Caenorhabditis elegans: one gene and its partner. The protein of the gene in region 1 interacts with the protein of each later gene in a pairwise test. Each region holds a gene or a part of one and is shown in the gene's direction. Other genes may lie near its edges.

The links. Proteins that work in one complex are often made in the same cells at the same time.
Region 2: the proteins of mpz-6 (region 1) and pro-2 interact in a two-hybrid assay, tested with the Caenorhabditis elegans proteins (one large-scale study listed by BioGRID).

The regions. Positions count from the first base shown.
Region 1 is NC_003280.10:9,405,068-9,408,821, reverse strand, and holds mpz-6 (PDZ domain-containing protein), read left to right. Parts: upstream 1-1,701; 5' UTR 1,702-1,744; intron 1,745-1,845; coding exon 1,846-1,944; intron 1,945-2,204; coding exon 2,205-2,285; intron 2,286-2,342; coding exon 2,343-2,537; intron 2,538-2,580; coding exon 2,581-2,715; intron 2,716-2,763; coding exon 2,764-2,964; intron 2,965-3,036; coding exon 3,037-3,222; 3' UTR 3,223-3,288; downstream 3,289-3,754. Other genes in the region: arrd-2 (Arrestin C-terminal-like domain-containing protein), read right to left, coding at 1-369, 422-697, 747-968.
Region 2 is NC_003280.10:10,343,438-10,347,191, reverse strand, and holds the start of pro-2 (Nucleolar complex protein 2 homolog), read left to right. Parts: upstream 1-2,079; 5' UTR 2,080-2,080; coding exon 2,081-2,301; intron 2,302-2,346; coding exon 2,347-2,629; intron 2,630-3,638; coding exon 3,639-3,754. Other genes in the region: stip-1 (Septin and tuftelin-interacting protein 1 homolog), read left to right, coding at 1-49; C07E3.10 (uncharacterized protein), read right to left, coding at 343-543, 686-790. UniProt on the Caenorhabditis elegans protein: Required for normal somatic gonad development and for regulation of germline development and proliferation.

The DNA.
Region 1 (3,754 bases):
TGATCCATTTCTTAGGGTAAATCCCAACAGGTATCCCATTGAGATCATTGGAGATTCGAAAGTTGGCGGGAGTCCATTTGGCAGATCAATCTCCACATTGATATATTTCACCTCACCAGGTGCGACGTCACAACTGTAATTGGCTCCGCGGAGCACTGTTTCACCATCTCTTCGATATTTGGATTCAATTGGGCAGTCGGAGTGACAATCGTTAAGAGAACACAATGATTTCTGTGGGCGAGAGTGGTAATGGGATTGTTGAATGAGCTCGAAACGAAGATTAATGATTGGTTTTGTTGAATGATTCTCCATGATGGCAAGTGCTCGGATTGTCTCCCCTGCGAGGAATGCTCGTTTGGAAAAGTGAAGCTAAAATATAATGAGTGAATTTTTTGACTCTACTTTTGAAATTGAACAATACCTTCAACAAAAACAATCCATCTTTGAAAATCGTTCCAGAATTCTTCGACTTGACAAATTCCGCGTACTTCATCATTTTTGGCTCAGAAAGTGTCAGATTTGTCTTCTGAACCACACGGAATGTATTCATCATTTTTAACTTGAGTCTCCACGGACGATCAAATTCCACAGTAACAGAATACTCAATTTCTCCAAACATTCCGCAAAAACTTGGCGGAGAATTTTCTGGAAGTCGGAATCGGAAACGTGATTTGAGAGTTCCAGCGGGGATTGTGTCCTGAATGGGAATATTTTGAAAATATATTTATTAAGTATTAAAAACTCACAACTCCATCTTTGGCAATCCATCCCATAAATGTTCCGGCAAGATGGCGTTGGACATTTGAGCTCTCCGATCCTCCAAAATTACACTTTGATTCTCCTTTCCACGTGATTTCCATATATCGTGCAGAAATTGGATCTTTTGTTGTGAGCAACACTTTTCCAGAGACATAGTCGCCAGGCAGGTATGTTTTGGAAGGATTGGAGAAAACAATGTTCACAGACATAATTCAAAAGGGAGAGATCGAGATAATAAAAGACTGACTGAATGAGACAGATTCTACGTCGTTGTAATCAACTTTCAGCGTTTGTGGGCGGAGTTTCCCATCTTGCTCGGAGAGTGTGGAGGTGATGTGACAATATAGAAAGGTGGTAGATTGCCACCTGCTCTTTTATGAGAATTCCAAATCGATATTGTAATTTTTCTGCACCAACGAAGAACAGTGTCGGTGTAAAAGTCGTGTTTGTTATGGAAAAACGTATTTTCAGATTTTTATCTCCAATTTTCAAAAAGATCTGCATAAAAGAGCAAAATGCCAACAATGCCATCAAGTTTCCAACGTCTTCTTGATATCCCACCTACAATTTGAAACTGAAGAATCTGATAGTGGCACAAAGTCCGAAGGTACAGCTCATAGGTGAAATGCTCAAATAAAGAGAAAATAAACGAATTTTTATTGGTTTCAGCGCCCCAACATACAGCAAAGATCTGAATACAATTCGTTCAAGACTTTCAAAGTTTGTAAGAGGAGGTCAAAAGAAAGTGACAAAAGCAGAAGACAACGATGATTGAATTGTTCTATTCCATTGATCTCATCGAAATTTGATAATATTTTGATAATAAATAATTTATCAATTTAATTAATATAACAACGTGACATCGTTTGTACTTGTTTTATTCAGAAAAAAATTACAGAAAAATAAAAAGTGAAAACAAAAACTGACTCAGTTCTAAATATTTTCTTATCGATAGCTCTTTCGTATCCGCAACAATCCATTCGGAGTAAGTTAACATTCAGATTGCGCGTTGGGTCTGACAATGAGGGCATAGTGACTCTACCAGTTACTAGAGAAGCGGACTGCATTGACATGAACTTCTTACAGATGACAACCAACAACAATAGTTTTCATGTAAAAGGAAAAGAAGAAGTACAATTCGAACGGAAGAATGTGGTTGTAGCATGTGATGTGGTCAATGGGAAGGTAAATGAGGGCTCATTTCGTTTTTGTTTGTTGGGAAATGTTTCTGAAATAATTTATTGAGATGGAAATACATTTCTTTTTGAATAATGTATTCAACGTAGGGCTCGCGCTAAGAGCTGAAACGAGCACAATTTTGTCGGCATTCCTGATGTGTTTAACATTCGAAAATTCCTTAATTTTTCATAAATACGAAGTTTGGGCTATTAAAAAACTCATTTTCAATTCAAAAATCGAAGAGATCTTGAATAATCACATTTGAGATCATATATGTGGACGTGAGTAGCCAATTGATGGGTGTTCTATTTGCTGGTGATGAGATTTTGAACGTCAATGGAGAAACCGTAAGGAATATTTTAAGATCCGTTTCCGCTTCCGTTTCAACTAATCCAAATGTTCAGAACATAAAGACAACTGCTGACTTTATCCGTGCAATCAGTGCAAAACTTCCTGGAAAAGTGACAATTGAGTTCATGCGAGATGATCATTGCCTTGTCACTGAAAAACCATTGCCACCTCGTCGTCCAAATACTCAGATGGTTGAGTTGACTTTCACTTATCGTGGAGGTGCTGCAACAGGGATTATTATTCATAGAGTCAGTAATCGGGACACTTGAAACTTTTAAAGATGGTTTCCAGATGGCAGTTGATCCAAAAACTGTAACTATTTCAATGGTTCAGTCGGCTTCCAATGCGTGTCACTATGTCAAAGGTGGAGATATTCTTGTCAAAGTTAATGACATTTATGTTCTTGATCGTGACTCTGCTAGAAAAGTATGATATCTTCCGAAACACAAATGGCTACTATTATCGCTCTTTCAGCTTCTCTATGCGAGTGTCAACAACACAAAAACGGTACGTCTTACATTGGAAAGATCCACAAATACTGATCCACTCGGCCCTGCTCCACTGCCTCCCGATGGTGCACAGAGTACTGCTGTTGGAGTGAAGAAAGCTGGAAATTCAGTGATGCTTCCACCTCCAAAACCACCCCAAGGAAAAGCCAACAAGCAGTTTGATGTGGTCAGTTTAAACCCATTTTCTTTTATCACTTCACTTAAATATAGAAACATGTTTTCATTTTCTTCTTTGCAGCTTCTTCCTTCTGATGTTTTGGAAATTATGAAGACAAACAAGATTTCTACAAGAAACCGTGCACGAATCCTCCATGTATTATCAAATCAGCCGTTGCACCAGCTCCAACTCCAGTTCCAGCCACCTTGCCATCGGAGCCTGCCCCAGAAGTTCGTATCCCATACATTCCGTCTCCGAAGCCCCTGAAAATGACTCCAAAACGTCTGGGATCTTAACTTGAGGAAGATATTCGGAATAAATTTGTTCGAAAAAAGTTACTTTGAAGTGATTTATGAATTTTTAAAGTTTTGAAAATCTACCTATTTTGCCAATAAATTGTCATTTTCATTTGATAATACACACTTAAAGATACGGCTGAAAATGTACATGACAGTAAAATATACTGTGAAGCCAGAGAGTAAAATATACTGTGAAGCCAGAGAGTAAAATATACTGTGAAGCCAGAGAGTAAATTATTCTGTGAAGCCAGAGAGTAAAATGTACTGTGAAGCCAGAGAGTAAAATATACTGTGAAGCCAGAGAGTAAAATATACTATGAAGCCAGAGAGTAAATTATTCTGTGAAGCCAGAGAGTAAAATATACTGTGAAGCCAGAGAGTAAATTATTCTGTGAAGCCAGAGAGTAAAATATACTGTGAAGCCAGAGAGTAAATTATTCTGTGAAGCCAGAGAGTAAAATATACTGTGAAGCCAGAGAGTAAAATACTGTGAAGCCAGA
Region 2 (3,754 bases), 940 kb from region 1:
TTCAGGGCTCAATGAGCTTATTCAAATGGCTCAAGGTGCACAAGGATAATCATTTTTAACATATCATATGATCTTGTTTAAACTTACGATAAAAGTTATTTTAATTTATTATTGTTTTAATTTTAACCTTGTCTATTCATTCCGTTAGATAACGGTTCATTATTTTATACTTTCTGCTTTGTATTTGTATTTTATAAAATTTATTGAAATTAAAAAAAAAACTGTAATATAGTATACTCGTAAAATTTTTACATTAAAAATCATCGGTTAATTTTTCGCAATTTCATAAAATTCTAATATTCTAATTGAATTTTCTAACCGATTAGAAAATAATGATTGAAGTTAACCGAATTGGCGAATCGCTGAGATCTGTGGAATATGCTGATCATCAAAATCGATTAATTTTCCGCCGTCATTCGTCGTAAAATTATTATTAGAACTTGTCGGGGAGTAGGCATTCAGTTTTTCACTTCTTGTAGTTATTGGAGTTTCAATCGAGACAGCTACTCTTTCTGACGGGAGTTGGACAATTGAGCGCGTCGGCTGAAAATCTAGATGAGAAAATTTTGGAAGCTTTTAAATTAAAAAAATAAGTTTTTACTAAAAATACTAAAAATTGTAATCTTTTCTGAATCGTAGAAACTAAATTTATCTCAAAAATCGAGAATTCTACAAGAAAACATACATTTTTCGGGAATAAATACCATACGAATAGTCCAACCACTACTCCGAAAACATGTAGAGATATTGAGATAATTGTGTGCGTTGTGTAGGATAATGTGACGAACATGAAATCTGAAAATTAGCAATTTTTCACATTTTGTATCAGTTTCTCAACTATAAAACAAAAACATAAAAGTCAAAAGCGATGGAAAGACTGTGAGCGAGAGATGAAGCCGACGGAATGAAGCGTAAAAGCTGTGGCGCACCACGGCTGCGCGGAAAGATTTTTCTCGTTTTTCTGATGTTGCTGACGGGCGACAGCCAGCAGCTTCTCCTTCCATTATCCTACAAGTGTCCAATTCATCCCGCAGAATGGCTTTTGTACCTATCTCCCGTCCGTTCTGGCTTATCGTACCGGGGACATTTATTGCGAAATGTAGAGGATTGTGTATGTGGTTTAGGAGTGGAACATTGAAGTAGCTAGCGGGAATTGTGGGATTATTTTAATTTTTATGAGATTCTCAATAGTTTAACTATTTAATTTCATCAAAAAATATCCTATTTATGGAATTTAATTTATGTCGAAAAAATATAGAAAATCACTAGATTTATCTGAAAATAACATTTTTTTCAGCCGAAACTTTTGAGAAAATGCAGAAAATTACCTTAAACTAAATGTTATTTTCAGATAAATCTAGTGACTTAAAAAAAATTATTTTTGACACAAATAGGAAATTAAAAATGTTAGAAAAACATGGTGCATTATGTCATTTTGTAGAATTGCAGAAACTATTATGATATTTTGACATCGAATGGAAAAATGGCAGCTAATCTAGCGAGCGATGAGACCGGTTCTCTATAGATTTTCAAGTGACCTTTCGGAACGAAGAAGTTCCAATCAAGCTACATACTAGATTCCTAGATTCTATAGACTTAGAATAATTAAATCAAAAACCTATCATGGATGAGAATAAGAAATAATGAAATCCTGCCTTGAATTAATATGCAAATGAGATGACTATACAGTCAGAGAATTATTCCTTCTTTGTTACGCGCGTTTCATCCGAATCTTTTTCCTGACTATGAGAAAGTCTCTTCGTTGACCGTAGTCTCTAGAGGTCTTGTGACCCCGATTCGGTCGCTTAAACAAAACACAAAAATACAGTAGTGGATTGAAAGTTCGCGGCTTTTCAAAAAGTGTTTTTGATCTTTATGTATCATAAATCGTGAAAAAAACGACTAAAAACGACTGCCGCAGAAAAAAAAGTTCGAAATTACCGTACTCTTAAAAAGCGAATATATTTTTGTAAGTCTGTGGAGGGTACTGTATTTTTAGCGCAAAATTTTGCGAGTGTACAACTGAATTATCATTTCGATATTAGAAAATCATGTATTTCCACAACATCATAATTTCAGGATGAAGCTTCTCAAAAAACCCGCGGGACTCAAAAAAAGAAAAGTTATTTCAAAACGAATCAAGATTGAAAAGAAGCCAAGTTCTGAGGACGAGGGAAGTTCAGATGAGGAGGTACCAAAATTGGATGGAGAAGGAAGTTTAGATGGATCTGAAGATGAAGATGATGGAACTGTGACTGTTGAGAAAGGAGGTGTGAAGAAGCATAAGTTGGATTTGGAAAAGTGAGAAATTGTCTTCGAGCTGGTAATAAAAATATATATTTTTAGACTGAAACAATCCGATCCCGAGTTTTTCAAGTTCCTTCAACAGGAAGATGCCGATCTATTGAATATGGAAGATGATGGGGATGACGATGAAGATGACGATGAGGATGATGAAGATGAAGAGGAAGAGGAAAGTGATGATGATGAGGATGATGAGGAGGATGACGACAAGACAAAGATTAAGAAGATCCGAAAACCAAAGATTAAAAGTGACAATTCTGGACGTCTTATCGTGGATTCAAATGTTTACTCTTACCTTCAACAAGTTCTCGTTTTGGATGATGAGGTAATTTATATTATCGAGACGGAAAACTTTACTTACTTTGATACTTTGATGTCCGTTGGGTTCAAGTTGCGAGGCAACTGCGGACAAACTCGAAAAAATATATTTGTTTAGTTGAGAAAACAATTAAAAACGCATACATTTTTTTAAAAACGTAAATTTTGAAGTAAATGATTTTTTAAAAAATTTTAAAAACCTGATACTAAATGATTAGCAGACCCAAGCTGTGACTAAATATTGGTTTTTAGAAATTTTTCATCGATTTTTCGTATTTTAGTTGAAAATATATTCATTTATTCAACAAAAAAAAAACAATTAAAATCACATAATTAATAAGAAATCAGTAAAAAATACTATAAAAAATCAATGAAAATTACAGTAACTAGAGTTTGAAACTACAGTACTCTTTAAATGCGCACACGAGTTTGCATTTAACTAAAATTATGTCGTGTCGAGACCGGGTACCGTATACTTTTAGCATAAAACGAAATATTTCGCGTTTGGGAAATATGGTTGTACCAGAAAAAAACGTTATCGAAAAAAAAAGGTTTTTCGCCAAAAATCACGAAAGAAGCAAAAAAGGAAATTTTGAAGTTTGGAATGTTTTTTTTTTGAAAAAAGTGTGAAAATTAAAAATTTTGTGTTTTCAGTGAGCGACAGGCGGTTTTTTCTTTCGAAAAGTGAGAAAAAAACGTTTTTTTAAGCCAAAAACGTTGAAAAAGGCAAAAACGAAGCAAAATAGTCTAAGATTAAATATATTAAAAAAAAAAAATTCATTTAAAATAGGGCTGAATCCGAAAAAAAAATTTCTCGAAGTCGACGGAAGCGAAAAAAACGGAAATTTTGATGTTGCGACTGTTTTTTTTTGAATAATATCAAGTGCAACTTTTTTTTAAAGTGTAAAATATTTTTTGGCAAAAAAATTTTTTTTAAAAAGTGATAATGAAGCAAAATAGTCTATGGCCATCGTGCGAGAATCCTATTCGAATTCCAACAAAATGAAATATTATAGACCTCCACACCCACCAATCCATCGGATGTTCGTATGGCTGTCGATGTTTTTGTCGCTTGTGTTGCTCGAGTTGGTGCAGACATTGAAGCTCCAAAATATGTCATTAATGAGCAATC